2 linked regions of the Oryctolagus cuniculus genome follow. Each later gene encodes a partner of the first gene's protein in a complex. Links are inferred from orthologs where the notes say so. Each region holds a gene or a part of one and is shown in the gene's direction. Other genes may lie near its edges.

Evidence for each region.
Region 2: LRP5 (region 1) and FZD8 share a complex: the UniProt entries of both Homo sapiens proteins name them as parts of the wnt-signaling complex. The link is inferred for Oryctolagus cuniculus from reciprocal best matches to the Homo sapiens genes LRP5 and FZD8.

Annotation. Positions count from the first base shown.
Region 1 is NC_091432.1:4,141,589-4,156,815, reverse strand, and holds part of LRP5 (low-density lipoprotein receptor-related protein 5), read left to right. Parts: coding exon 1-44; intron 45-1,228; coding exon 1,229-1,518; intron 1,519-2,710; coding exon 2,711-2,937; intron 2,938-3,973; coding exon 3,974-4,158; intron 4,159-6,542; coding exon 6,543-6,866; intron 6,867-8,284; coding exon 8,285-8,484; intron 8,485-12,292; coding exon 12,293-12,501; intron 12,502-13,316; coding exon 13,317-13,507; intron 13,508-13,898; coding exon 13,899-14,108; intron 14,109-15,227. UniProt on the Homo sapiens protein: Acts as a coreceptor with members of the frizzled family of seven-transmembrane spanning receptors to transduce signal by Wnt proteins.
Region 2 is NC_091444.1:107,144,247-107,159,961, forward strand, and holds FZD8 (frizzled-8), read left to right. Parts: upstream 1-8,032; 5' UTR 8,033-8,528; coding exon 8,529-10,613; 3' UTR 10,614-11,279; downstream 11,280-15,715. UniProt on the Homo sapiens protein: Receptor for Wnt proteins. Component of the Wnt-Fzd-LRP5-LRP6 complex that triggers beta-catenin signaling through inducing aggregation of receptor-ligand complexes into ribosome-sized signalosomes.

The DNA of each region.
Region 1 (15,227 bases):
TGACCTGATGGGGCTCAAGGCCGTGAACGTGGCCAAGGTCGTCGGTGAGTCGGGGGCCCACGCCGTGGCTGTGCCGCGCTGGCTGGGAGGACCCACATGGCCGTGGGGGGCCGCTCTGGAGGGCAGGACGGCGGCTGGGGGTGGGATGTTGACAGGACATGGTCAGTGGTGTGGCCCGGGGTTGTTGGTCGCCATTGCTGTATTTGTGGCTGTGTTGTTGAGTGCCTGTGTGTGCTAGGCCCTGACAGAGCCCCTCAGTGCCCAAAGCAACCCTGTTGTCACGGGGTGGTGGTGGTGGGGTGGTGGGAGCGCAGCTGCTCAGTGAGCAGGCAGCCAAGCTGGGCAGTCACCCCGGGTCTGCCCTGACCTCCCAGAGGCTGTGGTCGCTGTCCAGGGTGTCCAGGCCTGGGCCCCGCAGAAATCTCGCCCAGGAGGTCTTTGTTGGACACAGTGATTTCCCTCTGGAAAGGAATCCGGATGCAGGTGCACAGGTTACACTGGACGCCGTGGCCGCAGGGCCGGGCCAGGGCCAGGGCCGGCGGCTCCATGGGGCCCGGGGCCTGGCTCCTGCCTGCACTGTGCGGGCAGATCAGGGAGTGGACGAACGCGAGCCCAGTCTTGCTGCCAGGTTGCTTGTAGTCTGGTGGGTCCAGTGCCCCGCCTGGCTGCATCCAGGAAGTGGGGGTGACTGAGTGTGGGACGGGGGCGGGGGGTGGGGGGAGGGCGGCTGAGCAAGGGCCTGGCCGGAGGCAGTCGGGGTGGCCGTGGGGGCAGTCTCTGTCGAAGCCCTGCCCGCTGCAGACCCGGGGCTCCGAGTGATGTCCGGAACAGAGCCGTGAAAGCCCGCGGCTCCGAGTGGGCTGAGACGGCGGGGCTGTGATCTGGAGCTGAGGCGTCGGCTGCCTCCGGCTCTCCCTTGGTCTGGGAAAAGATGATTTTTTTAGCTGAAATACTTCACACCAATGTGAAACCGACCTTAGCAGTGCCGCGGCGGCAGGCTGAGGTCAGAGGCTGGTCTGTAGAGAGGGCCGCTCCGGTCACCGCTCCCATAGCCCAGAGGCGCCTGCAGCTGCGCCATAAACCCTGACTCTGGGAGGTCCCTGGGGGTGGCAGTGAACTGAAGGGTCCCAGGAGGCGAGCCCTGGTTCCCGTGGGCTCCCCACTCCCGGTCCCCTCGGCTGCCGGCGCCCTCGCCGCGCTCCCCTGCAGGCCGTGCGTTCGCTTCCAGGCACCAACCCGTGCGCGGACGGGAACGGCGGCTGCAGCCACCTCTGCTTCTTCACGCCCCGCGCCACCAAGTGCGGCTGCCCCATCGGCTTGGAGCTGCTCAGCGACCTGCAGACCTGCATTGTGCCCGAGGCCTTCCTGGTGTTCACCAGCCGGGCCGCCATCCACAGGATCTCCCTGGAGACCCACACCAACGACGTGGCCATCCCGCTCACGGGCGTGAAGGAGGCCTCGGCGCTGGACTTCGACGTGTGCAGCAGCCACATCTACTGGACGGACGTCAGCCTGAAGGTAGCGTCTGCAGTGGGCGGGGCGGCCAGGGCTCGGCGCCTGTCACTGACGAGAGTGGTGGGGTTTGTTGCAAGTAGATTCAGGCTGATGACAAGCAGGGGTGGGTATGGCAAGCAGACCCGGTGGACACACACACCCTGGCTTCTGAGGGGTAGCCCGGGGCCTAACTGACAGTGACCGCCGCCCCCCGCCCCCAGTGCCTGTCCGCATGGCGCATCCCTTCATTCAGAGCTCAAGTGCAGGGCCCGCGTTGTGGCGTAGCGGGTTTAGCTTCTGCCCGTGACGCCGGCATCCCATTCAAGTACTGGTTCGAGTCCCGGCTGCTCCACTTCCGATGCAGCTCTCTGCTAATGCGCCTGGGAAAAGCAGCAGATGATGGCCCACGTGGGAGATCTGGGTGGAGCTCCAGGCTCCTGGCTTCAGCCTGGCCCAGCCATTGTGGCCGTTTAGGGAGTGAACCAGGGGATAGAAGATAATCTCGCTCTTTCTCTGTCTCTTTGTAACCCTACCTTTCAAATACATAAAGAAGTCTGAAAAGGCAAACTGGATGGTGTTGCCATGTAGCAGGTTAAGCTGCTGCCTGCAGCGCCGGCCTCCCACGTGGGCACCGGTTCACGTCCCGGCTGCTTCACTTCCCATCCAGCTTCCTGCCACCGCGCCTGGGGAAGCAGCAGAAGACGGCCCAGAGCTTGTGCCCTCGTGCCCACGCGGGAGACCCAGATGGAGCTCCAGGCTCCTCCTGGCTTCTGCCTGGCCCAGCTCTGGCTGCTGCAGCCACATGGGGGAGTGAACCAGCACTTGGGCCATCTTCTGCTTTTCCAGCTGCCTTAGCAGGGAGCTGAATCAGAGTGGAGCAGTTGGGGCTCAAGCTGGGACGCTGGCGCTGCAGGCAGTGGCTTAACCCGCTACTCCACAGCGCCGGCCCCCTCTTGTATTTTATTGGTCCCTTGGGGTAGTTTCAGCGGTGAGATCGCGGGTGTGAGCTGCACGTCTTGAAGACTTGAGAGCGATGTCTGTGTGAGGTTTGCATGATGCACGTGGCCACGCCCAGGTTGCTTTTCCTACAAGGGTGCTGTTGGGCTGCGCGTTGAATGCTCACCCTTGGACGCCCAGTGCTGGCCAGCCGGTCCCGAGCGCAGTCGCCGGCTGCTCCGGGGCCTCTGACGCCTGCCCCTCCCCTCCCCCGCCCCAGACCATCAGCCGCGCCTTCATGAACGGCAGCTCCGTGGAGCACGTGATCGAGTTTGGCCTCGACTACCCCGAGGGCATGGCTGTCGACTGGATGGGCAGGAACCTCTACTGGGCCGACACCGGCACCAACAGGATAGAAGTGGCCCGGCTGGACGGGCGGTTCCGGCAGGTCCTGGTGTGGAGGGACTTGGACAACCCCAGGTCGCTGGCCCTGGATCCCACCAAAGGGTAAGGGTACGGGCCCCCACCTTTCCCCCGTCAGCCCGTGCGGCGGCGTCTGCGCTCAGTATGACAGCTGTGCCGGCTGCCACTAGCTTGCACGTGGCCTGGACTGGCGGGACACCAAGGCCAGAGTGTTGGCAGGGGGCCGGAAGCTGCTGTGCCAGGCACCAAGCTGGCCACTGTCGCCTGGGCCTCCTGGGAGCCTGCACGGGGCAGGTGTCCGTGCCCTTGATCGCCCAGATGTGCAGCGGAGGCTCGGGGACCCGCCCGGGGTCAGTAGGCAGTGGAGCGGGGTGAGGCCAGCAGGTGCCTCTTGGGCTCCCTCCGGGCCTCTGTTCCTCACTACGAGGCCCGGCTGCCCCAGGAGAGCTGGCCTTGAGGTCCTTGGATTCCGGGCTGCTCAGAATGGGCTCCTCGGGGCTGCTGGGCCACAGCTAGGCCCGCTCGAGAGGCACAGGGGCCTGGCGCCCTCTTGGGGCCTGGGGGCCTGGGTTTTCTTCCTGGTACCCACCCTGTAGCCTGACCGTGACGGGGCTGGAACAGCCCAGACGCTGCGTGGTGCCACTCTGATGGGCACGGAAGGCAGACTTGCGACAGCGGAGGGGCAGGTTTTTGCAAGAAAAATTAGGAGTTTCCGGACGAGGACGAGATCCTTTCTGGGTCTGTCGAGGAGGAGGAGGAGGAAGAGGAGGAGGAGGAGGAGCCGCTGGGGGAGGCGGCGTGGGGCTGAGCTCGAATCCCGGTGCCGCGGTGCCTCCCGGCCTGGTCCTGGCGCTCGCGGTCTCCCCCAGCCTGGTTCGCGTCCGTCCCTGCGGCAGTGCCTGCATGTGAATGCTTTAGCGCCTGCTTTTGTGTCTTGGTGGGCGTTCAGCTGCCTTGCAGGTGCCTCTGCAGGAGCTCAGGGAGGAGCCCGGGGACAGCCCCAGCAGGGCCTCAGCCGGGTCTCCAGGAAGCGGGGGGCTGACGGGGGAGCTGGTGAGGGCCACCTGGCCCCTGCACCGGAAGTGGACTCAGCCCTGCGCCCGCCCCCCGTGCCTCCCAGCTACATCTACTGGACGGAGTGGGGCGGCAAGCCGAGGATCGTGCGCGCCTTCATGGACGGCACCAACTGCGTGACGCTGGTGGACAAAGTGGGCCGTGCCAATGACCTCACCATCGACTACGCCGACCAGCGCCTCTACTGGACTGACCTGGACACCAACATGATCGAGTCGTCCGACATGCTGGGTGAGCGGCCGGGCGGCCGGGCTCGGCCCTCCACGCCGGCACCCGTGCTGTAGCCGGGGTTTGGGGAGAGGCCTGATGTTTGCCGGCCATTTCCCGTGCTGCTGCTGGGTCCCGGCTTCTGGCAAACCCTGCTACCGAGACTCTCATCTGATCCCACGCCTGCGGCGGAGGTGTGCGTCGATGGGGAGACCGGCTCAGGGAGGCCGTGCGGCGTGGTCTCCAGTTACAGGCCCAGGGGTTGGGGAGCCCCCCGGAGCCCAGGGCCACTACCTGTGCCCGCCATTGTGCTGGGAGCTTGCTCGGGCTCCCAGCATCCCCTGTGGGTGCTCTTGTCCCCCTGTTCCCTGGGTTGGGGGAGTGGAACGCCAGACGGGCTGGGGCTCTGTGGGCTCGGGTCTGGGCCCCCAGGCAGACGAGGGGGCAGATCACCGCGGCTCCCGTTTGCAGGGGTGTGGTTGTGCCCATTTTGCAGATGAAGAACCTGAGGTGTGGGCGAGCGGAACGCCTCGTCCCAGGGCCGGAGCTAGGAGCTGGCGTCTCGGGAGGGCGGGCTGCACCCTGAGGCTCCCAGTGCCGGGGTCGCAAGGCCGGGCGTGAGGGCTCTGGCCCGAGGTGAGACCAGTCACAGCACGGCCATGGTGGCCGGAGGTGACGAAGCTCGCCCATCACCCGGTGTGCGGACGGGCTGCGGGCAAGGCAGCCAAAACTGAAACCCCAGAGCATGGCCACCCTGTGCCAAGGGCCTAGCCGGCCCCTGCCTCGTGCAGTTTCCCCTCTGCCTGCCTCAGATGCCACGCAGTGCCTGCCTGGTTAACGCAGGGACGCCGGAGGGCCGTGGCAGCACCTGGTTAACTGGGGGGGGGGCTGCAGGGCCGTGGCAGTGCCTGGTTAACCGTGGGGGGGCCGGAGGGCCGTGGCAGTGCCTGGTTGATCGTGGCGGGGCTACAGGGCTGTGGCAGTGCCTGGTTAACCATGGGGGGACGCTGGAGGGCCATGGCAGCACCTGGTTAACTGGTGGGGGGGGGCGCAGGTCTGTGGCAGTGCCTGGTTAACTGTGGGAGGCTGGAGTAGCAGCCCCTGGCGTGGCCCCGGCGCTCTGCTGTCATGCATGTGCCCCGGTTCCCCGGGTGATGATGGTCGCTCGCTGGCAGAGCTCCTGGGGCGCGAGGTCTCTGACCTGGTGCGGGGGAAGCCTCTCTCAGCTCGGGCCCGGCCGCGTGTGTCACGGGGAGGCCGTCCTGAGGCCCTTTTTAAAGTGACCGTTCCCGGGGATGAAATCATCAACTTCCAGACTGGACACGGGTGGGCTTTGGCGCAGCGGTTAAGGCGCCACTCGGGACAGCCGCATCCCGCAGCCAAGTGCCTGGGCTGGAGCCCGGCTCCACTTCCCATCCAGCTTCCTGTTGATGCACCTGCAAGGCACAGCTCACGGCTCAAGTTCATCCGTCTCTGCTGCCCGTGTGGGGCCTGGAGTCGATCTCCAATTTCTTTTTTTAAAGATTTATTTATTTATTTGAAAGTCAGAGTTACAGAGAGAGAGGAGATGCAGAGAGAGATAGACAGAGAGAGGTCTTCCATCCTCTGGTTCACTCCCCAGTTGGCCACAAAGGCTGGAGCTGAGCTGATCCAAAGCCAGGAGCCAGGAGCCACCTCTGGGTCTCCCACGCGGGTGCAGGGGCCCAAGCACTTGTACCATTTTCTACTGCTTTCCCAGACCACAGCAGAGAGCTGGATCGGAAGTGGAGCAGCTGGGACTTGAGCCAGCGCCCAGGGGATGCTGGTGTTACAGATGCGGGCATTGATGGACAGGGCTTTCCCACGGCCACGTGCTCAGGAGTGGGGAGCCGGGTGGCCCAGGCTGGGGGACCCCAGAGCTTGGTTTGTTAAAATGGGATTTTCCAGTGCCGTGCAGCCGGCCAAGCTCAGAGCGCTGAAGGAGCACGGCACAGGTGGCTCCTTCAGAGACGGGGGGCGGCTCTGGCGCCCCCGCCCCTGCTCCCAGCCCCCAGCTCCTCCCCACGTGTCCCAGCAGCCACCTCGGCCCGTCACTGCCTCTGGTGCTGTCTGGGTGGATAAGCTTTGCTGTCACAGAACCTTCTAGAAGCATGTCCTATGGCAGGTGCTGTTTTGTGTCCTGCTGCTCCCACCTGGCCCGTGGGCTGTGGTTTCTGTTCCTGGGCCACTTCTGTCACGTGAAGACCCCCTGGGGGGCCCCTGGGGGCCGGCGTCTGGGTGGTTGCTGGCCTGCGGCTCTCTGTAGGACTTGGCACTGGGGACGGTGCCATGCGTGCAGGCCCCTGGCGGGGAGGCTCGGCTGCGGGTGAGCCCGTGGGTGCCGCGGCCGGGCCGTGCTGACACCGCGGGGGTGGGCGGTCTCCCCGCAGGTCAGGGGCGGGTCGTGATCGCCGACGACCTCCCGCACCCCTTCGGCCTCACGCAGTACAGCGACTACATCTACTGGACCGACTGGAACCTGCACAGCATCGAGCGGGCCGACAAGACCAGCGGCCGCAACCGCACCCTCATCCAGGGCCAGCTGGACTTTGTGATGGACATCCTGGTGTTCCACTCATCGCGGCAGGACGGCCTGAACGACTGCGTGCCTGGCAATGGGCAGTGCGGGCAGCTGTGCCTCGCCATCCCTGGGGGCCGCCGCTGCGGCTGCGCCTCGCACTACACCCTGGACCCCAGCACCCACAACTGCAGCCGTGAGTGCCTGCCCCTGCAGCAGCCGGGCCGTGGGGCTCCTCAGCCGGGTGCACGGGGATGGCTGAGCAGGTCGTGCGCTACACAGAGTCGGTGGAGCTGCCTGGTGGCCTCGGCCGAGCTATGGGGTCTGTGAGGCATCTCTGGATGTGAAAACCTACCTCTAGGGGGCGCTCTGCACTGTTCCATGCATTCAGCGAGGGACTCCCCCGGCCCCTGCTTATTCCCAGACAAGGAGCCCCAGGCACAGAGCGGTGCGGTCACCTGCTCAAGGCCACACAGCTGGGCTCGGGCTGGCTCTGGGCGGCCATGCCGTCTCCTAGTGGCCTCTGTGTGTGTGTGTGTGGGGGGGCATCTTGTTCTTCTACAGTGATAAGAACAGGGACATTCAGGAGCCAGGGGTGACTTCCTGTGTCCCTGCTGTGGGTACTGCTGTGACAGCTGCAGTGTCCGTAGCTCAGCTCCGCGCCGCAGGCCACAGTTCTCACAGCGTGGCGTCACCCGGGCCCTCTCTGCCCTGGGCTCGTGCAAGCCCTGAGCTGGCCGGCGCTGGGCCTGGCTCCCTGCAGCCCGGTTCCCCGTGACCCCGCTGCTCATGGCCCTCCCGGGGGTGAGCCTGGGGGCTCAGGAGGCCGTGCCAGGGCCAGGAGCAGATGTTGTCACCTGGGTTCCCTCTCCGCGGCCGGCAGACCTGGGATGACACTTTGGATTTCAGGACGCGTGCCCTGGGGTGGCCTCCACGCGGGCCGAGTGCCATGTCTGCACCAGGCCACAAGGGCTCCTGTCTGGACCCGTTCCGCCGTGAAGGAGGGGCCCTGGGAAGCAGGTTCTTTGTGTCCCCGTGTCACTCTGAGGAGGCCCAGGAACAGCTCCGGGCGCCCCCAGGCCCCAGCTCCCTTGAAAACCAAGACCCAGGGCCGCAGGGAGACTGCGCCTTACTGGGCTTCCAGGCGTCGGCACGCGGCTCCCTGCTGTCCCGTTATCTGCGGCTCACCGGCCCCACTCCCCGAGGCCCGTCCCCTCCTGGTGCCGTCAGCCGCCCACATGGGCGTGCGTGGGTGGACCGCAGGCTACTCGTGGGTGACACACGTGTTCATGGCTCTGAGTGGGGGCTTCGCTGCCATTCCTTTCCTTTGGTCCTGAGTTCTAATGGTAAATGCCGTCCCCGGTTCAGAGCTGACACCTGCCCTTGCACACAACGGGGGGGCACAGCCTTTGTCCTGTGGTCTTCCTCCGCGGACATCCAGCCGTGCAGGTGCGGGTGTGCTTTTCAGAGTCCAGCGGGAGGGAGGCCAGCTGTCCGTCTGTCCATCCACCCGTCCGTCCTTCCGCCTGTCCGTCCATCTGCCTGTCCTGGCCGCGTCCCCTGCAGCCTGCGGGCGCCAACGTGCCGCCCACTGGTCTCTTTGCTTTGCTCCAGCGCCCACCGCCTTCTTGCTGTTCAGCCAGAAATGTGCCATCAGCCGGATGATCCCGGACGACCAGCGCAGCCCGGACCTCGTCCTGCCCCTGCACGGGCTGCGGAACGTCCGCGCCATCGACTACGACCCGCTGGACAGGTTCATCTACTGGGTGGACGGGCGCCAGACCATCAGGCGCGCCAAGGACGACGGCACCCAGGCAAGTGCACCGCCGCTTCCGTGGGGAGACCCCTGGCCGCCGCCCCCTGTGCAGCCTGGCCCTGGTCAGGGTGAACGGTAACGTCACTGGCAGGTGCCATCCTGAGCCGTGTGGGACCCTGGGCCTGGCCAAGCCCGGGGGAGACCCCCTGTGCAGGGCGACCGTGCCTGCGTGGGCGTGGGTGCTGTTGGTCACGCCCATTTATCCTTTATCTCGTGGTCCACTCTCCCGTGAGCCTGTGCGTCGGTGCTCTGTGCCGACAGCACGCAGGGCTCATGGGAGAAGCAGTGCTGGGGCACAGCGCTCAAAACCCCAGAAGCAAAGGGTCCCCCGTCCGTGGAGCGCCCGGCGCAGGCCTGTGCCGCGGGAAGCTTGCTTCCGTTGCCCGTTCCTGGTTTCTGGGTGGTTTCCGGTGTCTGCTGAGCAGGTGGAGTGTCCGCCACGGCCTGCTGTGCCAGAGGCCCGGGGCCCAGGATGGCGCTCACCCCAGACGGCCGAGCCTTTGGGAGGGGCCCTGGAGGGGGGCCTCAGGTCGTGGGGTGTGGCCCCTCGAGCTCTGCAGAGGGTCCTCATGGAGCCCGAGTTTGGGATTGGCCCCTCTCTGCCCCGTCCTCCGTGCGTGCCGCTGCCCTCACTGGAGGCCGTGCTGATGGGGCTGTGTGGTCTTGGCCTGGAACCCCCTCACTGTGAGCTGACCGTTGACCTGCCCTCGCAGGAAAGCTGGCTCCTTGGGGGTTTGCTGTGGCAGTGCGGGGCTGCCTCATGCACGTTTCTGGCCTGCCCTAAGCTGGAGGCTGGCACTGTTTGTCCAGCTGGCTGGCCCTTTGCCAAGGTATGTCGCCCAGCGCCAGTGCCGAGTTCACAGGTCATAGCGCCAGGTGTGTGTCCTCGGCTGGTGGTGGAGGTCACAGGCGGCTGGGATCTCTGTGGGAGCAGTCGGGGCAGAAGTTATAGAAGCAGGTGCCTGCCCTGTGCTGGGTGTGGGGACAGCTGGGTGCCCGTCCTGTGCTGGGTGTGGGTGACAGAAGCCCGCCCTGTGCTGGGTGTGGGGACAGAAGCCCGCCCTGTGCTGGGTGTGGAGACAGCCGGGCACCCGCCCTGTGCTGGGTGTGGGGAGAGAAGCCTGCCCTGTACTGGGTGTAGGTGACAGAAGCCCGCCCTGTGCTGGGTGTGGGGACAGCCGGGCACCCGCCCTGTGCTGGGTGTGGGGACAGAAGCCCGCCCTGTGCTGGGTGCGGGGACAGAAGCCTGCCCTGTGCTGGGTGTGGGTGACAGAAGCCTGCCCTGTGCTGGGTGTGGGGACAGCTGGGCACCCGCCCTGTGCTGGGTGCGGGGACAGAAGCCTGCCCTGTGCTGGGTGTAGGTGACAGAAGCCTGCCCTGTGCTGGGTGTGGGGACAGAAGCCCGCCCTCTGCTGGGTGCGGGGACAGAAGCCTGCCCTGTGCTGGGTGCGGGGACAGAAGCCTGCCCTGTGCTGGGTGCAGGGACAGAAGCCCGCCCTGTGCTGGGTGTGAGGACAGAAGCCTGCCCTGTGCTGGGTGTGGGGACAGCCGGGCACCCGCCCTGTGCTGGGTGCGGGGACAGAAGCCCGCCCTGTGCTGGGTTCGGGGACAGAAGCCTGCCCTGTGCTGGGTGTGGGTGACAGAAGCCCGCCCTGTGCTGGGTGTGAGGACAGAAGCCCACCCTGTGCTGGGTGTGGGGACAGCCGGGCACCTGCCCTGTGCTGGGTGCGGGGACAGAAGCCCGCCCTCTGCTGGACGAGGGTGGCATGTACCGCTCTGCAGGGCCCAGGTGTTAGCTGAGGCCGTGCCTCCTGCTGGCTCCGGTGCTTTGGTGCCTGGAGTGGCCATTGGCAGCCTCGGAGGAGGAAGTGGGCGGAGGCTTTGAAGAAACAGCCTGGAGGAAGGCTCCGCCCTGCTCCTCAGCTGGGAACCCACCCTTCCTGTGGCTCTTGCCGGCTCGGCCCCTGGGGGACCTGGCTCTGCTCCTTCATTCGGGACAGTGGTCATTACCCACTGGATGAGGGCTTGGTGCCGCCCCCGCCCCCACGGGCCGTGTCTGCCCTGATGGCTCCTCCTCCTCGCGCTGGGGTGAGCGTTGCGTGGTGCAGCTGGGCTCTGCGGTCAGCCAGGAAGCCCGAGCGTCTGCCGCCCAGGGAGGGCCGTGGGCCCGGCGGTGTCGCGGGTGCTCGTCCTGGACAGCTGGGGTTTGCAGAGTCCGGGTTTGCCCGGCTTCCGCAGCCTGCCCCGTGCAGTGAGCCAGTCCTGGCCGTGCCGGCCAAGATCCGCGGGCAGGGAGCTCTGTGTGGCGCTGGGGCACGCGCCCAGGCCCGGCAGTGTTGTGGGGCACGGGTGTCGCCCGTGCAGAGCCGAGGTCCTCAGAGCTGCTCTGAGCCTGGAGGGTGGATGCTCTTGGCGGCTGCCGGCGAGGCCAGCCCAGGGCTGCCGTGGTGGGTCCTTTCCAGCCGGATCCAGGAGGCTGGGCCGGGGGCAGGGGCTCCTTTGGGCTGCAAGCCCCCTCCGTTGCCCACCTGGAGACATCGTGTTTCGTCGACACTGAAACAAGCCAAGACAGCCCCCGGTGACCTGCTGGGCGAGGTCGCCCTTGGCTGCCCCCCTTCCTAGAGGCCGAGGGTCTCCCCCCAGCCATCGCAGCCCCGGAGCTCCACGCCCCTCTGTCAGCCAGGTCTCCAGGAGCCGGAACGTGCGGGCTGTCAGGACAGCTTCAGGGGCCAGGTCGTCCCAGGCGCCAGGCTTCTGGGGTGGAGTGCAGCTCTGGGCTCCTCCCGCTTCCTACGCCTGCTCAACCCATCACGTTGGAGGGATCGTGCGGGAGACCCCAAAGCCAGGACACATCCTCCAAATGCAGCCAACGCAGTGCTGTGGGGATAACGGGCTGGGTGGAGGCCCCTGAGAGGCGCTGAGATGGGGTCCCTTTCCCCTCCCCCGCCCCCCGCCTCTTTCCCCGCCCCTGCACCCCCACTCTTTCCCTGCCCCTGCCCCCGCCCCCTGGCCTCTTTCCCCTCCCCTGCCCCTGCCCCCCCCAGCCTCTTTCCCCGCCCCCGCCCCCGGCCTCTTCCCCCACCCCCTTCCCCCACCCCCGCCCCTGCACCCCGGCCTCTTTCCCCTCCCCCGCCCCTGCACCCCGACCTCTTTCCCCGCTCCTGCCCCTGTACCCCGGCCTCTTTCTCCTCCCCCGCCCCTGCACCCCAGCCTCTTTGCCCGCCCCTGCACCCCGGCCTCTTTCCCCTCCCCCGCCCCTGCACCCCGACCTCTTTCCCCGCTCCTGCCCCTGCACCCCGGCCTCTTTCTCCTCCCCCACCCCTGCACCCCGGCCTCTTTCTCCTCCCCCGCCCCTGCACCCTGGCCTCTTTCCCCGCCCCCGCCCCTGCACCCTGGCCTCTTTCCCTTGGGGGAGGGGCCGTGAAAGGGGTCTCCTGGTCTCTGCATCTGCTGACCTAAGTTAAAAAATACTTGAGGGTCTTCCATCCTGGGAGCACGTATCCTGGGACACAGCAGGGAGACGTCTCGGCCGGGCCTGAGGTCCTGGGGCCCCGCACCTGGCGGACACTTGGGGTGAGCCAGGGACGTGACCACCGGTGTCACTCAGCTGGGTCCCTCCGGCGTCCTCGCTCACGGGGCCTGGGACCCAGGGTGGTGCCGAGTCCTCCGGAAGCCGGTGTCCGGATCTGCCTCTGCACTCGGAGGTTGGGAGAGGACGGGTTGCTGGGGTCTTGGCCTCCGGGCGCGCTGGGATGCCCCTGGCTGCTCTCCCTGGCGCCAATGTGGTTTCGCTGCTGTCTCCGCAGCCCTTCATTCTGACGTCTCCGAGCCAAAGCCAGAACCCAGACAGGCAGCCGCACGACCTGAGCGTCGACGTGTACAGCCGCACGCTGTTCTGGACGTGCGAGGCCACCAACACCATCAACGTGCAGCGGCTGAGCGGGGAGGCCGTGGGGGTGGTGCTGCGTGGGGGCCGCGACAGGCCCAGAGCCATCGTCGTCAACGCCGAGCGAGGGTAGGCAGTGACGACCCTCTCTAGGGCCCCAGCCCTGTGGTCGGGGCGGAGAACAGACGCGCAGACGTGGTCACGGTCACGGGCAGGGGGCCCAGCGGGGCAGCCCGTGCTGGTGGGCGGCGGGGAGCGGCTTCTAACAAGCCGACCGCAGAGGTTAGTTCAGGGCTGGCTCCAGGCCGCCTTCCTCTGGCATAGCAGCACTGCCTGCTGGCTTCGGGTGGCCTTCGGGGTTCCTCTTGTTTAAAAAAAGTTGGAGCAGCAGCATGGCAGAGAGGGGGAGACAGAGATTTTCCATCCACTGGCCTGCTCCCCAAACAGCTGCAAACAGCTGGGCTGGTCCAGGCTGCAGCCGGGAGCTGCATCCGGGTCTCCCGCGTGGCTGGCAGGGCCCGAGCACTGGAGCTGTCACCTGCAGCCTTCCCACGTGCATTAGCAGGGAGGCGGATTGGAAGTGGAGCGGCCGAGGCTGGAACCAAGGGCTCCAGCCTGGACGCGGGGTCCCATGCAGCAGCGGACCCCGCCGCCCGCCCCTCAGGGCCCCCCCTCCAGGCACTCTGTCCGGTGGCCGCCTCACTCCCCTCGCTGCCCCGGCACGCATGCGCCTGCTCGGACCTCCTTGATGGTGGGCCCGCCCTGACGCAGCGCCCTCTCATGAGATCCTTGACTCACCCCCCGAAGACCCGTCCCTAACTAAGCTCACATTCCGAGGCCCTGGGCCGGACACTGAGCCGCCAGGCCTGGGCTGGTGCTGGGCGAGGCGCTGTGGGCCCGGGCAGCCCCTGCCCCGCCCGTGCCTCACCCGCCCCCACCTGCAGGCACCTGTACTTCACCAACATGCAGGACCGCGCGGCCAAGATCGAGCGCGCGGCCCTGGACGGCACGGAGCGCGAGGTCCTCTTCACCACGGGCCTCATCCGCCCCGTGGCCCTCGTGGTGGACAACGCGCTGGGCAAGCTCTTCTGGGTGGATGCGGACCTGAAGCGCATCGAGAGCTGCGACCTCTCAGGTGGGCCGTCTCCTGCCTTCCTCGTCGCAGGCGCGCGCAGCCTGGCCCTGCAGGTGCACCTGCGGGTTCCGGCGGGGCCCCGCGTGCCAGAGGCTGGCGACCAGGCCCAGGGAGGGCGAGCCGGCTGCTCGGGGTCCCTGCGCGGGGGGAGTGGGGTTCCCGTCGCACCCTGTGGGCTGGGGAGAAGCAGGAGGCGGTGCCTGGGGTCCCTCCCAGCTTTTCTTCTTGGTGGGTGCTGCGCTTCCGGGGGCCCCAGTGGAGTCTCCCATCTGCCTGGTGCCCGGGAATTGTCCCCGCTCCCACCCCGGCCAGGGCGTGGGCCCCCCGCGGGGCCCTGGGGTCCTCCCTGTGAACCTGCGTTCTCCTGAGCCAAGCCCGTGCCCTTCCCCAGGGGCCAACCGCCTGACCCTGGAGGACGCCAGCATCGTGCAGCCCGTGGGCCTGGCCGTGCTCGGCCGGCACCTCTACTGGGCCGACCGGCAGCAGCAGATGATCGAGCGCGTGGAGAAGGCCACCGGGGACAAGCGCACGCGCGTGCAGGGCCGCGTGGCCCACCTCACCGGCATCCACGCGGTGGAGGAAGTCAGTCTGGAAGAGTTCTGTACGTGGGGTGGGCAGCGGCGCGGGCGGGGTTGCTCGGAGACGGGCAGGCAGGGGCTGGCGCCAGACGGGAGCAAACACTCGTGCACACACACACAGACACACACACTGCTGCAGGTACACACAGACACACACACTGCTGCAGGTACACAGACACACACTGCTGCAGGTACACACACACAGACACAGGTACACACACAGACACACACCACTGCAGGTACAGACACACACACCGCTGCAGGTACACACACTCACAGACACAGGTATACACACACACAGACACCGCACCGCAGGTACAGACACACACACTGCTGCAGGTACACACACAGACACAGGTACACACACTCACAGACACACACCACCACAGGTACACACACATAAACACACAGAGACACTGCACCACATGTACACACAGACACACACACACAGGTACACACACAGACACACACAGACACCCCACCACATGCACACAAAGACCCTCCGCTGCAGGTACACACATGTACACACACACCCCGCCACAGGTACACACATGCACACATACACACCACTGCAGGTACACACACACAGGCACACATAGATACCTTGCCACAGGTACACACATGCACACACACAGACACACACCATTGCCGGTATATTCACACAGACACACACACCCTGCCTCAGGTACACACACATGCACACACACAGACACACCACCTCAGGTACAGATACACACACATACCCTGCCACAGTTACACACACACACGCACACACACGCACACACACCCTGCCGCAGGTACAGACACATATACACACACCCTGCCACAGTTACACACACACACACACACCCTGCTGCAGGTACACACACACACACCCCGCCGCAGTTACACACACACATGCATACATACACACACACACACACACACACACACACACACACCCCGCCGCAGGTCGGTGTGTGTCCAGCGTCCAGAGGCCCTGGCAGGCCTCACCTTCGCTGCAGAGTGGCCGCCTGCCACCCAGTGTCTGAAGCTGACCCTCGCTTGGGGCAGACGTCCCCGCACTGTGTGGGCACCCTGGCCTCAGCTTGGGGTCGCCGGCCTGGCTCCTTCCTGGGGCTGCGGGGAGGAGTCCATTGCCC
Region 2 (15,715 bases), on another chromosome or scaffold:
TGTAGGCGAGGAACAATTTACCAGAAAGGACAAAGGGGGTGGCCGTGTGGCCTACTGGGTAAGACCCCAGTTAACATGCCCGTGTCCCATATCAGAGCCTGGGTCTGAGTCCCAGCTCTGATCTCTGACCCCAGCCTCCTGCTCATGCAGACCCTGGGAGGCAGCCATGTGAAGGTCCAGCACTTGGGTTCCTGGCACCCCCAAGGGAAACCAGGATGAAACCCCAGGCTCCAGGCTCAGCCAGCCCCGGCTGCTGTGGGCATTTAGGGAATGCACCAGCAGAGGGAAGACCTCTCTCGCTCTCTCTGCCTTTCAAAAAAACAAATTCTTAAATGTTTCAACCACATCAACATCAGCCAGAAAGCTATTTATAAAAGGGTAGGTAAGGCCGGCGCCACAGCTCACTAGACTAATCCTCCACCTTGCGGCGCTGGCACACCGGGTTCTAGTCCCGGTCAGGGCGCCGGATTCTGTCCCGGTTGCCCCTCTTCCAGGCCAGCTCTCTGCTGTGGCCAGGGAGTGCAGTGGAGGATGGCCCAAGTGCTTGGGCCCTGCACCCCATGGGAGATCAGGAGAAGCACCTGGCTCCTGCCATCGGATCAGCGCAGTGCGCCAGCTGTAGTGGCCATTTTGGGGGTGAACCAATGGAAGGAAGACCATTCTCTCTCTCTCTCACTGTCTAACTCTGTCAAAAAAAAAAGGGGTAGGTAAAATGCTACTTATAAAATATTTTAAAATACTGCACACTCTGTGTACATATACATGTGCATAGAGTGCAAAACCATTCTAGGGTCCAAGTCAAGCCATCTTCAGGACACTGCTTACTTCTGGAGAAAGGGCGGGGGGAGGAGAGAGAGGGAGGAGGGGGGAGGGAGGGGGGAGGGGGGAGGGAGGGGTGTTGATGCCTTATTTCTCTGGAAGAAAAGCAATCTGAGGCCGAGGTGTGAAAACACGGACACATCAAGGATGGCTTATAGTTGTGTTCATTTTCTCTACGTTCGAAGTATCTCACAATTTTTGTTTCTTTTTCCGGAAAGAAAAAACACAAATGTTGACGGCAGGCTAGGAAGCAGTAACACGGATTGTATGGCACATTTTTCCGAAGTGTTGAGTTCCGTTCAGCGTGGCTTTCTTGTTCTGGTCACTAAACTCTGGGACATGGAAGGGGGCTAGGAGGTGGAAAGTAACACAGTATTCATTTACCTCCCAGCCTACAGCAACCAGGAGAAGAACTGGACCCCACCCTGGACCAGCAAGCAGGACACTAGGATGGAGTCACCGGCAGAGGCAGAGCCGGATCCTCCCACCCGCGGGGCTGGCCCTGGAAACCTCCCCTCGCTGTCGGGGTGAGTGGCAGGGCTCGGCCAAGGCCACCTTCCAAAGTCACGGCCAAAGCAGTGGGGGAGCCAGGGAGCGGCCTGGGCCGTGGACCTGCCGGCCGGGGGGAGTCGCTTGAGACAGAAGGAGAGACCCTTCCCCAAGTTAGACCCGTGAGGGGCCGTCATTCGCCCGTGGAACAGAGAATCAGAAATCCGTCTGTGTTGGCGCCACGAACGTGGGATGCCCCTGCACGGTTGCCAGTGCACACACTTTCCACGAACCCCTGGGAGAGCCTCCGTCTGCACTGCAGAGAAAGCCCGCCCGTCCCACGCTGAGCTGAGGCCCCCTCCCATGGCCCTGAGCCCCGGAGCCCGGAGGGAGCCGTGACGCCGGGGGACAGGCCTGGGAGCAGAGCGCCCCGGGGTGGGCCATGAGCTCCACCCTGCCAAACGACCAACCGCAGCCACACCAGTGGTCCGGGTTTCTGTGTTCAGGAAGATGGCCTCACTGGGCTTCTAGATTGTTCTCATCGCGCGTTCCCTACTTTGAGCTTACGCCAGGACGCCAGCTTGTGAGGCTGTGGAAGGGGAGACGTTCCTGGCGTCTTGCTGTGCCCTAGACCTCACCTGTACACAGTGACAGAGGTGGAGCCTGAGACAGGGAGCCCCGTGGGGGTGGCCGGTCCCCGCCCCCTCCACGTCTCTCCTTAGCTCTCACAAACCTTAGTCTCACTACAGACGCGCCGCTATCCACACAGAGAAAGAGGAACACCTGCCCATGCCTGGGGAAGGCACCTTCAAGAACAAACAGTATGTATGCGCATGCATATAATATTCACCCACAAAGTGAATAGGATGTTAAAAATGGCTAAATCTTAAAAAAAATAATAAGTATTGAAAGAAAGAAGTCTGCCAGGAGACTTCTGGAAAGATGCCCGGAACACTGCAGCCCTCTTGTGACCATGAGGTCAGGGCTGTCAACACCCCTGGGGGGCAGGGCAGGGAAAGAATCTGGATCCTGGAGGACATTTTCCAAGTGCTATGAACCACCCTCCTGGACTGTCTGTGCTAGGAGATAATAATTTCCATCCTGCAGGAGCCAGTGTGCAGCCAGTCGCCGAGACAGGACAGACAGCATTGAGCCCAGAACCTGGCACCACGCTCTGAAGGGCGGCTCGTGTCTCTCCTCCACCCCAGCCCACTCCCCTCCAGGACAAGGGACCACGTGGCTCTGAGCAGACCGCACCGCGTCCTGAATCTGACCACTCTCATTTCCCCAGCGACAGTGGCGCTCGGCACAGAACCCCACCTGGGACAGTGTTTCTGGTGCCGGCACTGTGGCGCAGCGGGTGGAGCCGCCACCTGTGACGCGGGCGTCCCACATGGGCACCAGGTCCAGTCCCCAGAGCAGCTCCCTGCAATGTGCCTGGGAAAGCAGAAGATGGCCCAAGGACTGCGGCCCTGCACCCGTGTGGGAGACCCGGATGGAGCTCCTGGCTCAGCCATTGTGGTCCTCTGGGGAGTGAACCAGCAGATGGAAGACCTCTCTCTGTCTCTCTCTGTCTCTCTGTACACTGAACTTTCAAACAAATAAGTTAACCTTTTTCAAGAAAAAAAGAAAGCATGCCAGGGTTCATCTTTATGTTGTGAAATTATTCCAATACACTCAACGTGGTAACGCATCCACTTTTATTCTATACTCGACTATTATGCTACAAACCATGCTTCCATAAACTAAGGTTGACTCTCCTGAAGCATATGTGCTTCCAACAGCAACAAAGACGAGAAAAATCAAATGTTGTCACTTCCAGACAAAAAATGCTTTATGTGTTCCCCTGACTCTGGTCAGAAACAAACATAAAACAGGAATCAAGCCACCACCCCCAGGCTTTAGTGCCCTAATAAGTATTCATGTTACTAATGTCAAGTCTCCATAGCCCAGACCACGGCTTAAACCAGATTACACTGTAACCAGACGTAAACTCTCGCCTGGACCAACACTGCTTTGCAATAAAAGCCCTTTCCCATCCAGCAGCAGCTCAGAGGGGGCTTCAATACAATTCTCCTACATTAATTATAATTTTGCCAATACAAACTGTTATGCTGGGTGGGCGTTTGACCTAGTGGTAAGACCCCCAGTGGGGACACCCACATTCCCATGTTGCAGTGCCTGGATTTGAGTCCCCATCAGCTCCCTGCTAATGCACTCCCTGGGAGGCAGCAGGTGGTGGTGCAAGTCCTGGGGTCCCTGCCACCCACGTGGGGGGGCCCAGGTGGAGTCCTGGGTCCCTGCCACCCACGTGGGGGGGCCCGGGTGGAGTCCTGGGTCCCTGCCACCCGCATGGGAGACCCGGGTGGAGTCCTGGGTTCCTGGCTCCAGCCTGGCCCCGTCCCAACTGTTGCAGGCACTGGGGAGTGAACCAGCAGATGCCGGCTCGCTCTCTCTCTCTCTCTCCCTCTCTCTCTCTCTCCATCTCAAATCACCTTTTTTTTTTTTTTTTTTTTTTTGACAGGCAGAGTGGACAGTGAGAGAGAGAGACAGAGAGAAAGGTCTTCCTTTGCCGTTGGTTCACCCTCCAATGGCCACCGCGGCCGGCGCGCTGCGGCCGGCGCACCACACCGATCCGATGGCAGGAGCCAGGAGCCAGGTGCTTCTCCTGGTCTCCCATGGGGTGCAGGGCCCAAGCACCTGGGCCATCCTCCACTGCACTTCCCGGGCCATAGCAGAGAGCTGGCCTGGAAGAGGGGCAACCGGGACAGAATCCGGCGCCCCGACCGGGACTAGAACCCAGTGTGCCGGCGCCGCTAGGCGGAGGATTAGCCTAGTGAGCCGTGGCGCCGGCCTCAAATCACCTTTTAAAATAAAAAGGTTATAGGGTCTAGGACTTAACAACAAATACCCTCTGACTCCCAGAATTTTGTCCATTTTTAGGGTAAAAGCCCAACACAAAGGCACTCAGGAATGATACTGCACAGTTTATAAACATTATCAAGAAAACGCGTGGTAAACTGCTGGCCATTTCCCAGTGCACAGAGAACCTGATGCTGTGCACGGCCCAGGGAAGAGAATCCGGATATTAAGGGTTGCTTGGACCTGGAGCATCCTTGATTCCTAATCCAGAGTGCGATGTGCTGGGGGCTGGGCACTGGGCTGCTCGTGGTCAGGTGTGCCGCTGGCAGCCCCGCCTCCCTGCCCTCTGCCTTCCCCGGGGCCCCGTCACCAGCCCCCTGCTGGAGCCCGCCCACCGTCACAGCCTGTCTGGTGCTGGGTGCCAACCTTGGCCACCAGGCAGGTTCAGACCACCGTGCTTCGGGGCCAGTCAGCCAAGGGCTTCCAGAGAATGGAGGGTGGCCTGAAACGGGATGACTCGGCAGCTGGAGCTTCCACGAGCCCGGGGGACTGACTGTGAACTCTGGCTTCTACGCTCAGCGCCAGGGAAGGTGTCCTTGCTTGGCTCTGGCAGTTTGAGTTACAAGATGGTTATGGCGGAAGGAAGTCCCACTTCCGACCCAGCTCCCTGCTGGATCCCTGGGAAAGCAGCGAAGACGACCCAGTCGCTTGGGCCCTGCACCCCTCGGGGAAGCCCCTGGCTCCTGGCTTCGGCCTGGCCCAGCCCCAGCCATTGCAGCCACTGGGGGAGTGAAGCAGCAGATGGAAGACCTCTCTCCCCCTCTCTTTGTAACTCTGCCTCTCAAATAAATAAATCTTTAAAGAAAGAAAGCTCCCAAATGAGTGCACACTGTGTCCTCAAGAGCCTGGACACCCGCCCGTACTCCTGTGCAAATGAGAACAAGAACTGAGCCCGCGGGAGCACGCGCTGGAGTGGCTGGAGAGGCAGCACCACACTGCAGGCGCCATCTTCCAAAATGGCGGCTCCATGTAAGGGAGCAGTGACCTCCAGCGAGGGGCACGCGGCCTGTCACCCACAGGAGCCTCCCTCCCTGGTGGAAGAGAAAGCAGGAGACAGCTCTGTAAACATTCGCTGCTGGTGAGGAGGAAGAGCGCTCAAATACCCTCCCTGACCAGTCCATCTCCTGCTCCCGTCCACTCACACAGCTGGCCGCTGAAGACGCAACGCTTGGTGTGCTGCAGACCTGAGCCCACTAAGACGGGGCGGCCGTGAGGCCTGGTGGTCAAGATGCTGCTTGGGACACAGGCATCCCATAGCGGGGTGCCTGGGTTCCAGACCCAGCCCAGCCTCCACTCCGCTTCCTGTTGAGGGGCCAGGTGGCAGCCGTGATGGCCCAAGGCCTGGGGTCCCTGCCACCCACACGGAGACCCAGAAGGAATTCCTGGCTCCTGACGTCAGCCTGGCCCAGGCCTGGGTGTTTTGGGGGACTGAACCAACAGAGAGAAGCTCGCTCGCTCTCCCTCCCTCTTCCAAATAAATGTTTTAAATCTTCAAAACGTCAAGTACCCAGCGTCACCGGATAGAGTTTTAAACTCTCTGAACGTGCGATACTCGTTTCTCTGGAAGAAAAGCAGCCTCTGGAAAACCGGCTGGTGTCTTAGGTAACATCCAAGAGACGCCATCAGGTGCAGAGGGTCCTCCACTCCACGCTCACATCACGTGTTCTGCAGGTGCGGAGCCCGACCTGCGAGAAGTCCGGCTGCAGTACCTTCACCCCAGTTTCTCCTGACACCCACGTGGCCACCCCGTGTTCCAGCTCCCTCCGGCCTCCCCCTCTACCTGTTGGACATCTGCTCCTGCACTCTGCATTATTCATTCATCCCCCACCCACCGGCTTCCCTGCCCGGAAATGCTGTTTTACATACAAGCAAAGTGTCCGCAGTTCTGGTCTTGGCGGGCACACTACCGCTGCTGGCTTTAGAAATCTTTCCCCCTCTGAAAGCTTCTCAAGTAGTCACTTATTTTTTTTTAATTTTCCCATTTATTGGCAAATTTCAGATGCTATTCATAGACGATTAAAAATAAATCTTTCAGGATTTTATGTAAGTAAATCTTTCATGATTTTATGTCCCAAATCAGTAAAAAGTTTCCCCAAATTGCCTATAACATGATTTTTTAGAAGTCTGAACTTCTGTCTGCTTATTTTTTTTACGCAGGCTTAATACACTTACCAAAAATTTCCACATTCCACATCATCAAAGCTTTCATCTTGTCTCCAAAGAAAAAAGGAGAAAGAATCGAATGCCAGTGAACAGCCAAAACCAACTATTTGCAGCCTCGATTTTCAAATGTCAGGCTGTTTTTTTCCCTCATTCTGGTCAGTTTACACGGCGCGCAAGTCTAACCATCTCCGCGTGACATTTCCCTGCCCAGCAAAGGCTGGGGGAGCCCCTGAAGCCTTCGGAGGTGGGGGCCAGGTAGAGCAGCGCGCATGCGCCCTCGCCAGCCTCACCTGTCCCCTGACTACGCAGTGCCCGCCAGGAGCCACCTGGACCTGGAGAGGCTGGTGCCTTCCCCCTCTCTGGGCCGCGTGGGGGCTGGGCTCTGCAGCAGGGGAAAGGAGTGGGGGAGAGGGAGGAGAAGGGGGGGGGAGAGGGAGAGAGAGGGAAGGGGGGAGAGAAAGGAAAGGAGGGAGAGAGGGAGGGGGAGAGGAGGGGGGAGAGAGAGATAAAGGAAAAGAGGAGGGGGAGAAGATAGAAGTAGAGGGGGAGAGGGAGAGAAGGGGGGAGAGAGGAAGGGAGGGAGAGGGAGAGAAAGAGGAGAGAAAGGGACGAGGAGAGAAGTAGGAGAAGTGGGGGGAGAGAAGAGGAGAGAAGGGGGAGGGAGGGGAAGGGAGAGAGGAGGGGAGAGAGGGAAAGGGACGTGGAGAGAAGTAGGAGAGAGAAGGGAAGGAGAGAGAGGAGAGGGGAGAGAGAAAGGAGGAGAGAAGGGGGAGAGGGGAGGGGAGCGAGGCGGGCGGGGGCGCCGGCGCCGCGGCGCTAGTCCCGAGGTTACAGTAATTACCGCCGCAGCGTGAGTCCCGCGCGAGCGCTAAGTGGAACAGCGACATCAATTAAACAACAAACGCTCCGCACCGGGAGAAAGACAGCCCCCCGCGACGGCCCAGCCGGCGCCCACCAACCTGCGCGCACCCCGCTGCCGGCCGGCGCCCCCCGGCCCGGGCGGGCACCGCAGCCCGGGGCAGCCCGCCGCGGGTCGGCCGGCCGGAGCTGGTGCGCTCCGCGTGGACGGGCGTGAGCCGAGCGCACCCAGACCGGAGCCCGAGCCCCCCCACCCCCCCGCCGCTGATTTACAAGTTTTTGTTTTGTTTTCTTTTTTTCTTTTTTTAAGAAGATACTGGATTGTTTTGCAAGAGGGAGCCCAGCGTCCCAGCGCCACCCGAATACCGACACAGTACCCTCCCCCACCCCGAGCCACGCGGCGCGGACAGGCGCCGGGCGCGCACCTGACCCGCAGCCGCTGCGGGCGCCCGGGGCTCCGGGCCGCGAGCCACGAAGACCAGGCGGGCGGCGCGGGCCTCCACCATGCGCGCGGGTCGCCCGGCGGGGAAGAGCGCGCCTCGCCACCTGCCCCCGAGCCCAGCCCCTCTGCGGGCCGCGCGGGGCGCTGGGGAACCGCCGCCGCCCTGCAGCCAGCCCCCAGGCGCCGGGCCCGGCCGCCCGCACAGCCCGCGGGGCCCCGGCCCGCCGGCGGCCAGGAGGCCACGCCTCCCGCGCGCGGACCCCGCCCCGCCGCCGCCGATTGGCCGGCACTAGGGGGCGGGGCAGCGCCGGGGCCGTATAAATATTCATGAGCCGGGCGCGCGGCGCTCGGGGGGCCGCGGCCGGGAAGTTGGGTGCAGGGTGCTGCTCCCGCCGAGGCGGCGGCGGGGCCGGGCGCGCAGCTCGGGGGTCTGCTGCGCTTCCGGGGCGAGCGGGGCGCGCGCGGCGGGCAGGAGGAGCGGCCCGGGGCGCGGCGCGGACTTGCGCCCGAGGAGGAGGAGCGGCCGGCCAGGCGGACGCACGGAGGAAGCCGGCGGCGGAGGCGGGCATGAGCGCCCGGGGCCCGAGACGGGGTTGACCGGGGCCCGGCCGGCCCAGCCATCTTGACTGCGCGCCGCGGCGCGGGCGGAAACTTGCGGCGCCGCCGAGGGGCCCTGCGCGCGCCAGGGGGAGCGAGCGAGCGAGCGGGTCGGGGCCATGCGCCGCGGCCGGGCCGGCCCGCCCCGCGAGAGCTGAGCGCGGCCCGCAGCGAGGCGCAGAGCCCGGCGGCGGGCGGCCGGCCCCGCTCGCGGGGGCCGCGGGCGCGCGCGCGCGGCATGGAGTGGGGCTACCTGTTGGAGGTGACCTCGCTGCTGGCCGCCCTGGCGCTGCTGCAGCGCTCCAGCGGCGCGGCGGCCGCGTCGGCCAAGGAGCTGGCGTGCCAGGAGATCACCGTGCCGCTGTGCCGGGGCATCGGCTACAACTACACCTACATGCCCAACCAGTTCAACCACGACACGCAGGACGAGGCCGGGCTGGAGGTGCACCAGTTCTGGCCGCTGGTGGAGATCCAGTGCTCGCCGGACCTCAAGTTCTTCCTGTGCTCCATGTACACGCCCATCTGCCTGGAGGACTACAAGAAGCCGCTGCCGCCCTGCCGCGCCGTGTGCGAGCGCGCCAAGGCCGGCTGCGCGCCGCTCATGCGCCAGTACGGCTTCGCCTGGCCCGACCGCATGCGCTGCGACCGCCTGCCGGAGCAGGGCCAGCCGGACACGCTGTGCATGGACTACAACCGCACCGACCTCACCACGGCCGCGCCCGGCCCGCCGCGCCGCGCGCCGCCGCCGCCGCCGCCGCCGCCTCCGGGCGAGCAGCCGCCGGCGGGCAGCGGCCACGGCCGCGCGCCCGGAGCCCGGCCCCCGCACCGCGGCAGGGGCGGCGGCGGGGACGCGGCGGCCGCGGCCCCCGCGCGCGGCGGCGGGAAGGCGCGGCCCCCTGGCGGCGGCGGCGGCGCGGCGCCCTGCGAGGCGGGCTGCCAGTGCCGCGCGCCCATGGTGAGCGTGTCCAGCGAGCGGCACCCGCTCTACAACCGCGTCAAGACGGGCCAGATCGCCAACTGCGCGCTGCCCTGCCACAACCCGTTCTTCAGCCAGGACGAGCGCGCCTTCACCGTCTTCTGGATCGGCCTGTGGTCCGTGCTGTGCTTCGTGTCCACCTTCGCCACCGTGTCCACCTTCCTCATCGACATGGAGCGCTTCAAGTACCCGGAGCGGCCCATCATCTTCCTCTCGGCCTGCTACCTCTTCGTGTCCGTCGGCTACCTGGTGCGCCTGGTGGCCGGCCACGAGAAGGTGGCCTGCAGCGGCGGCGCGCCGGGCGCCGGGGCCGCGGGCGGCGCGGGGGGCGCGGCGGCCGCGGGGGCGGCGGCGGCGGCGGGCGCGGCGGCCGGGGGCGGCGCGGGCGCGCGCGGCGACTACGAGGAGCTGGGCGCCGTGGAGCAGCACGTGCGCTACGAGACCACGGGCCCGGCGCTCTGCACCGTGGTCTTCCTGCTCGTCTACTTCTTCGGCATGGCCAGCTCCATCTGGTGGGTCATCCTGTCGCTCACCTGGTTCCTGGCGGCCGGCATGAAGTGGGGCAACGAGGCCATCGCCGGCTACTCGCAGTACTTCCACCTGGCCGCGTGGCTCGTGCCCAGCGTCAAGTCCATCGCCGTGCTGGCGCTCAGCTCGGTGGACGGCGACCCGGTGGCGGGCATCTGCTACGTGGGCAACCAGAGCCTGGACAACCTGCGTGGCTTCGTGCTGGCGCCGCTGGTCATCTACCTCTTCATCGGCACCATGTTCCTGCTGGCCGGCTTCGTGTCGCTGTTCCGCATCCGCTCGGTCATCAAGCAGCAGGGCGGCCCCACCAAGACGCACAAGCTGGAGAAGCTCATGATCCGCCTGGGGCTCTTCACGGTGCTCTACACCGTGCCCGCCGCCGTCGTGGTCGCCTGCCTCTTCTACGAGCAGCACAACCGGCCGCGCTGGGAGGCCACGCACAACTGCCCCTGCCTGCGGGACCTGCAGCCCGACCAGGCGCGCAGGCCCGACTACGCCGTCTTCATGCTCAAGTACTTCATGTGCCTGGTGGTGGGCATCACTTCCGGGGTGTGGATCTGGTCCGGGAAGACGCTCGAGTCCTGGCGCGCGCTCTGCACGCGCTGCTGCTGGGCCAGCAAGGGCACGGCGGGCGGCGGCGGCGGCGGCGGCGGCTCGGGCGCGCAGGGGCGCGGCGGCCCGGGGGGCGGCGGCGCGGGCGCGGGGCCCGGCGGCGGAGGGGGCTCGCTCTACAGCGACGTCAGCACCGGCCTGACCTGGCGCTCGGGCACGGCCAGCTCGGGGTCCTATCCGAAGCAGATGCCCCTGTCCCAGGTCTGAACGCGGGGGGCGCGTGCGTGCGTGCGCGCGCGCGCGCGCGGGATTCCCACCCACCCCACCCCCTTCCCCGTGGTGTTGACTGCTATTAGCATGATAATGAACTCTTAATGGTATCCATTAGCTGGGACTTAAAGGACTCCCTTAGAACAAAGTAGCTGGCATGGAAGCCCCCCGGGAGCCGGCCCCCTCCTCCCGCGCCGGGCGCTCCTGCCGCGCGGGCCCGGCTGGGTGGACTCCGCCGGGCTTTCCGGAGCCCCCTCGCCGCGTGCCCCTCGCCGACCTGGAAGCTAGCGCTCCACGATGCCGCCCGGAGACCCCCTGTGTTGTGCGTCCACTCTGGAGCGAGGGGCGAGCCGACTGCGGCCGTCCGGGGCTGCACGGTTTGGGTCAATCTTTCCTGACCGGGCACATGCCTTAAATAAGCAAGCAAGAAATGTCTTAATCACCCAATCCAAGTAAATACGGGTTTCTGACGTTAGAGGATGTATTTATATAATTATTTGTTACATTGTAAAAAGCAAAAACAAAAAACAAAAACGTGTACCATATGTATATATCCAAAGATATACAACGTGTACATTTTTTTTGTAAAAAGTGTAGAGGCGACCCCTGTAAGAACAAATATAAGTATTCTATTTTGTCAATAAAACGACTTTTGATAAATGATCGGAAGCTTCGCCGGCTCTCCCTGCGTCTTCTGAGCTGCTGCTGCCTTCCAGAGGGCTTGGCCAGCTTGGCCAGGACCAGGAGCCGGAAAGGGACTTTCCCTGGGGACCTTGGCAGTGGGGGGAAGGTACCGGCAAACGCGCTGGTTCTACCGCCGTCCAGGTCCTTGTGGGACTGACAGCAGAGTGGAGATCTTGGATCCAGCTCGCACCTGAGTGGGTGAGCCGGACGCTTCGCAAGGCAGCAGCCCCCTGGGCCTGGGCCCCGCCATTCCCCCGTGTCGTGCCCGCCAAGGTCTCCAGAGCCCACCTGGGCTCTCTGGCGTCTGGAGTCCGCAGAGCCCCTGGTGGTGCGGTCACTGCACGTGCTGCTGGGACGTCCAGGTGCGCTGTTAAAGCTCAGGGCGCTCTTGGCCGTGGGACTCACTGGACAGCCTGGTCGCGAGCAGGGGAGGGCTCAAGAATGGATTCTTCTCATGGGTTAACATCTTAATAATCATCCCTGCTTGTGTGTCCCAAATGTGCTGCCTTCTCTGGAGGAGAAAAGAAAACCTGTTATCCCTCTGTCAAGACTAAGCTAATGTATTGAAGCAGAAGGCTGCTGCATTAGCAGAAAGCTTCGGCAATGGTGGCGCTCCCTACCTGTCTGTCCAGTGGTTCTGCACACCATCCCTTCAAGAGGAGCCGGATGAATAGGGTTAATCTGTAGGGAACTTGGTCCTTTGAGTTGGAAAAACTTTGATCTTCGAAGGCGTTTGTAAAGGCCGCACTGTTCCGTCCTTGCAGCCGGCTCCATTGGCCACCACGGAGCCTGAGCGCTCGGCCATTGAAGGGATGTGGGACTTTTACTTTAAAAAGGAGAGGGAGCCAGGGGCCGGGAACACTTGTAACAGTCAGTGGGGACCGGGAGCACAAGTGCGCTCCGCCTTTTAAACAGCCATTCCCGGTATTGTTGGCCAGCCCGCAGGCTGCGAGCCTGCGCTGCGGCGTTGCTGAATGCCCTACAGGTGGTCTCGGCACAGAATCCCCCAATTTAAAGCCTTTTCCTTCCCTGGACAATTGCATTACAAAACTCCCTTCTTTCTCGCTCCTAATTGAACCAATGAACTATTATAATCTACAAGTTTTTCTTTAAAAAAAAAATCCTCAGTGCCTAAATTCTATTCACTAAATTCTGGGAAGTTTTCTGAACCCGGAAGTAGGAGCTGGTTCGGCAGAGGTTTCTCTCTTTTAAAGATATTTTTATTCCTGATGCTTGTTATTTTCTGACACATTAGCAATAATTTAAAAGTAATTGGTGGGATTGTGTGTTCCTACTGAAAAGATAGCCCCAGGTCCCTTATTAACCTGTCAATCAAGATAAGAACCGGGCAGATCCTCCGCTAATGATGGAGGCATCAATCACCGTGGTGGGAGGGGACTTGTCCTGGGCATCCTGCTAAGATGTTTCTTCTCTTTACTTCTCCAGATCGGAATCTTCGGTGGTTTTCTTAATAGGGTGGAAACTTCCGTACTGTGGGCGACTTCTCACGTCCTGACATTTTGCAAATCCTTCCCAGAGTCGTGCTTGCTGTTAATTGCATTTTTAAAAATCGGATTTACAGGAAGAACAGCGGCCCCGGCTCTCCCGCCAGTCCGCGTTTTCCGAGGCGGGGCCCTGTGAAACCTCCCCTCTGCCGCCATTGTCGTCATGAAGGGACCATGGGGGTGTGCCTTAGGTGCCCAGAAGGGGCCTGCTCCCCACCCAAGTGGGGACTGCAGGGCTGGAGGGTGCAGGTGCCACGAGAGCTGTACCTGGCAGACGGGGACAGAGCTGAAAGTCCTTGGTTGGCATGTTGGGCTTCCAGTGTGCCATTCCCATGAGTGACAGAGTTCTGAACATGGGCCACAGTGCCAAGTGGTCAGCTGAGGGGCTTGCTAGCTATTGGTTCTCTGAACCCTTGTCAAATGCCGTGTTGGTTCCTTTTACCAGGTGGCTGCTTGTGTTCAATTTCAGCAGGCTCATGAAGCCAACCAACAGAGCCCCTGTGGACTGCTGACACCCCCCTGCACCTGGGCTCCCCGCAACCCCAGCTGAAAGCCGCCGTGTGCTCGATTTCTGCCTTTGAGGCCAAAACCTGCCTGGCAAAGTTGCCCCATACCCAGTGCCATCTGCTCGTGAAATCAAAACCCCACGGCTGATTCTTTTGGTGCACCTGCCCCGGACACCCCATTGGGCTCCCAGGGTGTGACCTAAGTGACTATGAAACAAATATTTGTTTCTGGACACCTTGTCAAATACCGGGGTCCGTGGGGAAAGACGTCATTACTGTGTGGCTAGATCAATGTCAATAAAATCTAACCTGATGAAAACCTGCAGTCAGGCCAGAGCTCATTACAGCAAGCTGCCGGGGCAGCTGCGGGACCGGGAAGGACCACAGGGCACCAAGTTCAGCAGAGTTTAAGCGGCAGTCCCTTAGCCCTCGCGGGCTGCGCTGGGGCGCCCCGGTGCCTCAGAGCCTGCGGGGGAGGCCCACAGATCATCTTGCGAGCAGAAATCCACCGAGAGATTGCACAGCAGATGTGCTACTTCAAGAGTGGGTGCAGAGCGGTGCTCAGAGCGGAGCCGGCGCCGGCCGCTGTCCACAGTCGGTGCTCTGCTGCCATCTTGTGGCTGCACAGTGCCATTTCCCTTCCAATTCATTCAGAAAAACTGACGACCCAGATGGCAGACCCTGTCCCAGGCACCCACCTAGGGCTCCTGCAGGCGTTCTGTGTTCATCATTCCAAGTTCTCAGAATCTGGGGTCATGCCTGACCTCAAAACTGCATCTGTTTAAGGCCTCACAGGACATCACTCCCACACAGTTTAAGGTGACTTTTGCTAACCTCCGCTCAATCAATCAATCCTCAGTGTCACTGTTAAGCTAAAAATATAACTAAGGTCGGTGGCAATCCAAGTGCCTGTCTTCCTACAAATTCTTTTCTGCGTTACTCTTTTTTTTTTTTTTTTGACAGGCAGAGTTAGAGAGAGAGACAGAAAGAAAGGTCTTCCTTTTTCCATTGGTTCACCCCCCAAATGGCTGCTGCGGCCGGCACACTGCACAGATCCGAAGCCAGGAGCCAGGTGCTTCTCCTGGTCTCCCATGGGGTGCAGGGCCCAAGCACTTGGGCCATCCTCCACTGCACTCCCTGGCCACAGCAGAGAGCTGGCCTGGAAGAGGGGCAACCGGGACAGAATCCAGAGCCCCGACCGGGACTAGAACCCAGGGTGCCGGCACCGCAGGCAGAGGATGAGCTTAGTGAGCCATCGTGCCAGCCTCTGTGTTACTCTTATTTAAAGAGTGGAATGCTTGCCAAAGATCTGTCCTACCAACCCTTCAATGGAGGAAGAATCAGTAATAGAGACTGTTTGGAGTAGGCTTCAGTTTTCTGTTTATTTGAAAGCCAGAGTTACAGAGGAAGAAGGAGACTCAGAGCGAGGTCTTCCATCTGCGGGTTCACTCCCCAGATGGCTGCATTGGCCAGGCCTGGGTGAGCCTGGGGCTTCATCCAGGTCCCCCACGTGGGTGTAGGGGCCCAGGGACTTGGGCCATCTGTCTACTGCTTTCCCAGACTGTAGCAGAGAGCTGGATCAAAAGTGGAGCAGCCGGGACTCGAACCGGCGCCCGTACGGGATGCGGCAGTGCAGGTGGCGGTTTTACACCAGCTACTGCACTGCTTCACACGCCCCACACTTGGCTGTCGGCCGAGCCCAGTGTCAGCCTTTGGAGCTGCACACGTATGCTGTGGGGTCGGCCAGGGGGCAGGGCTGTCCCTGCTGTCCCCAGGTGTCCGACAAGGCCAGCCAAGGGGTAGAGGGGGCCTGCTGTGGCCTTCCAGAGCCCCCCTGGAGAACACAGCAGTGTGGGAAGCCAGGTTCTACAGGAGGGGACCCCAGGGCCTCCTGGAACCCTGGGTCCTGAGGAGCGGGGTGGCTGCTGGGGAGGGGGTGGGGTCCACAGCAGACCCGCAGGCCGTGGGGTCGCCAGATGCCGTGACAGGCAGCTCAGCCGGAGTGCCACACACGCACACACATGCACACCCTGACACCCAAGACCTCCTTTGGCAAGTTAGGGCGCTGCAGCTCCCAAACCAGGGGTGCGGACAGGTTAGCAAAGCGCCTGTCCTGCAGGCCTGACACAGCGGCCCCCTGTGCACCCCGCTGTGCGCCCTGGTCCCAGAGTCGCCCCGTGGGCTCCCGTGGTCTGCCAGTGACCCACGGGCACGGAGAACACATGGTCCCTCCTCTCCAGGAGGGAATTCCCCAGGAATTCCCCAGCCCCCTAGGAGGAGCTGCAGGGACAGACTGGGCGGGGGGGAGGGGAGTCACTCTGGCCAGCGCAGTCAGGGAGGGAGCACGGGCGGCACAGCAAGCAAAGGCCTGCAGGCGGCACCTGTGGAGAGGGGTTGAGCAGGG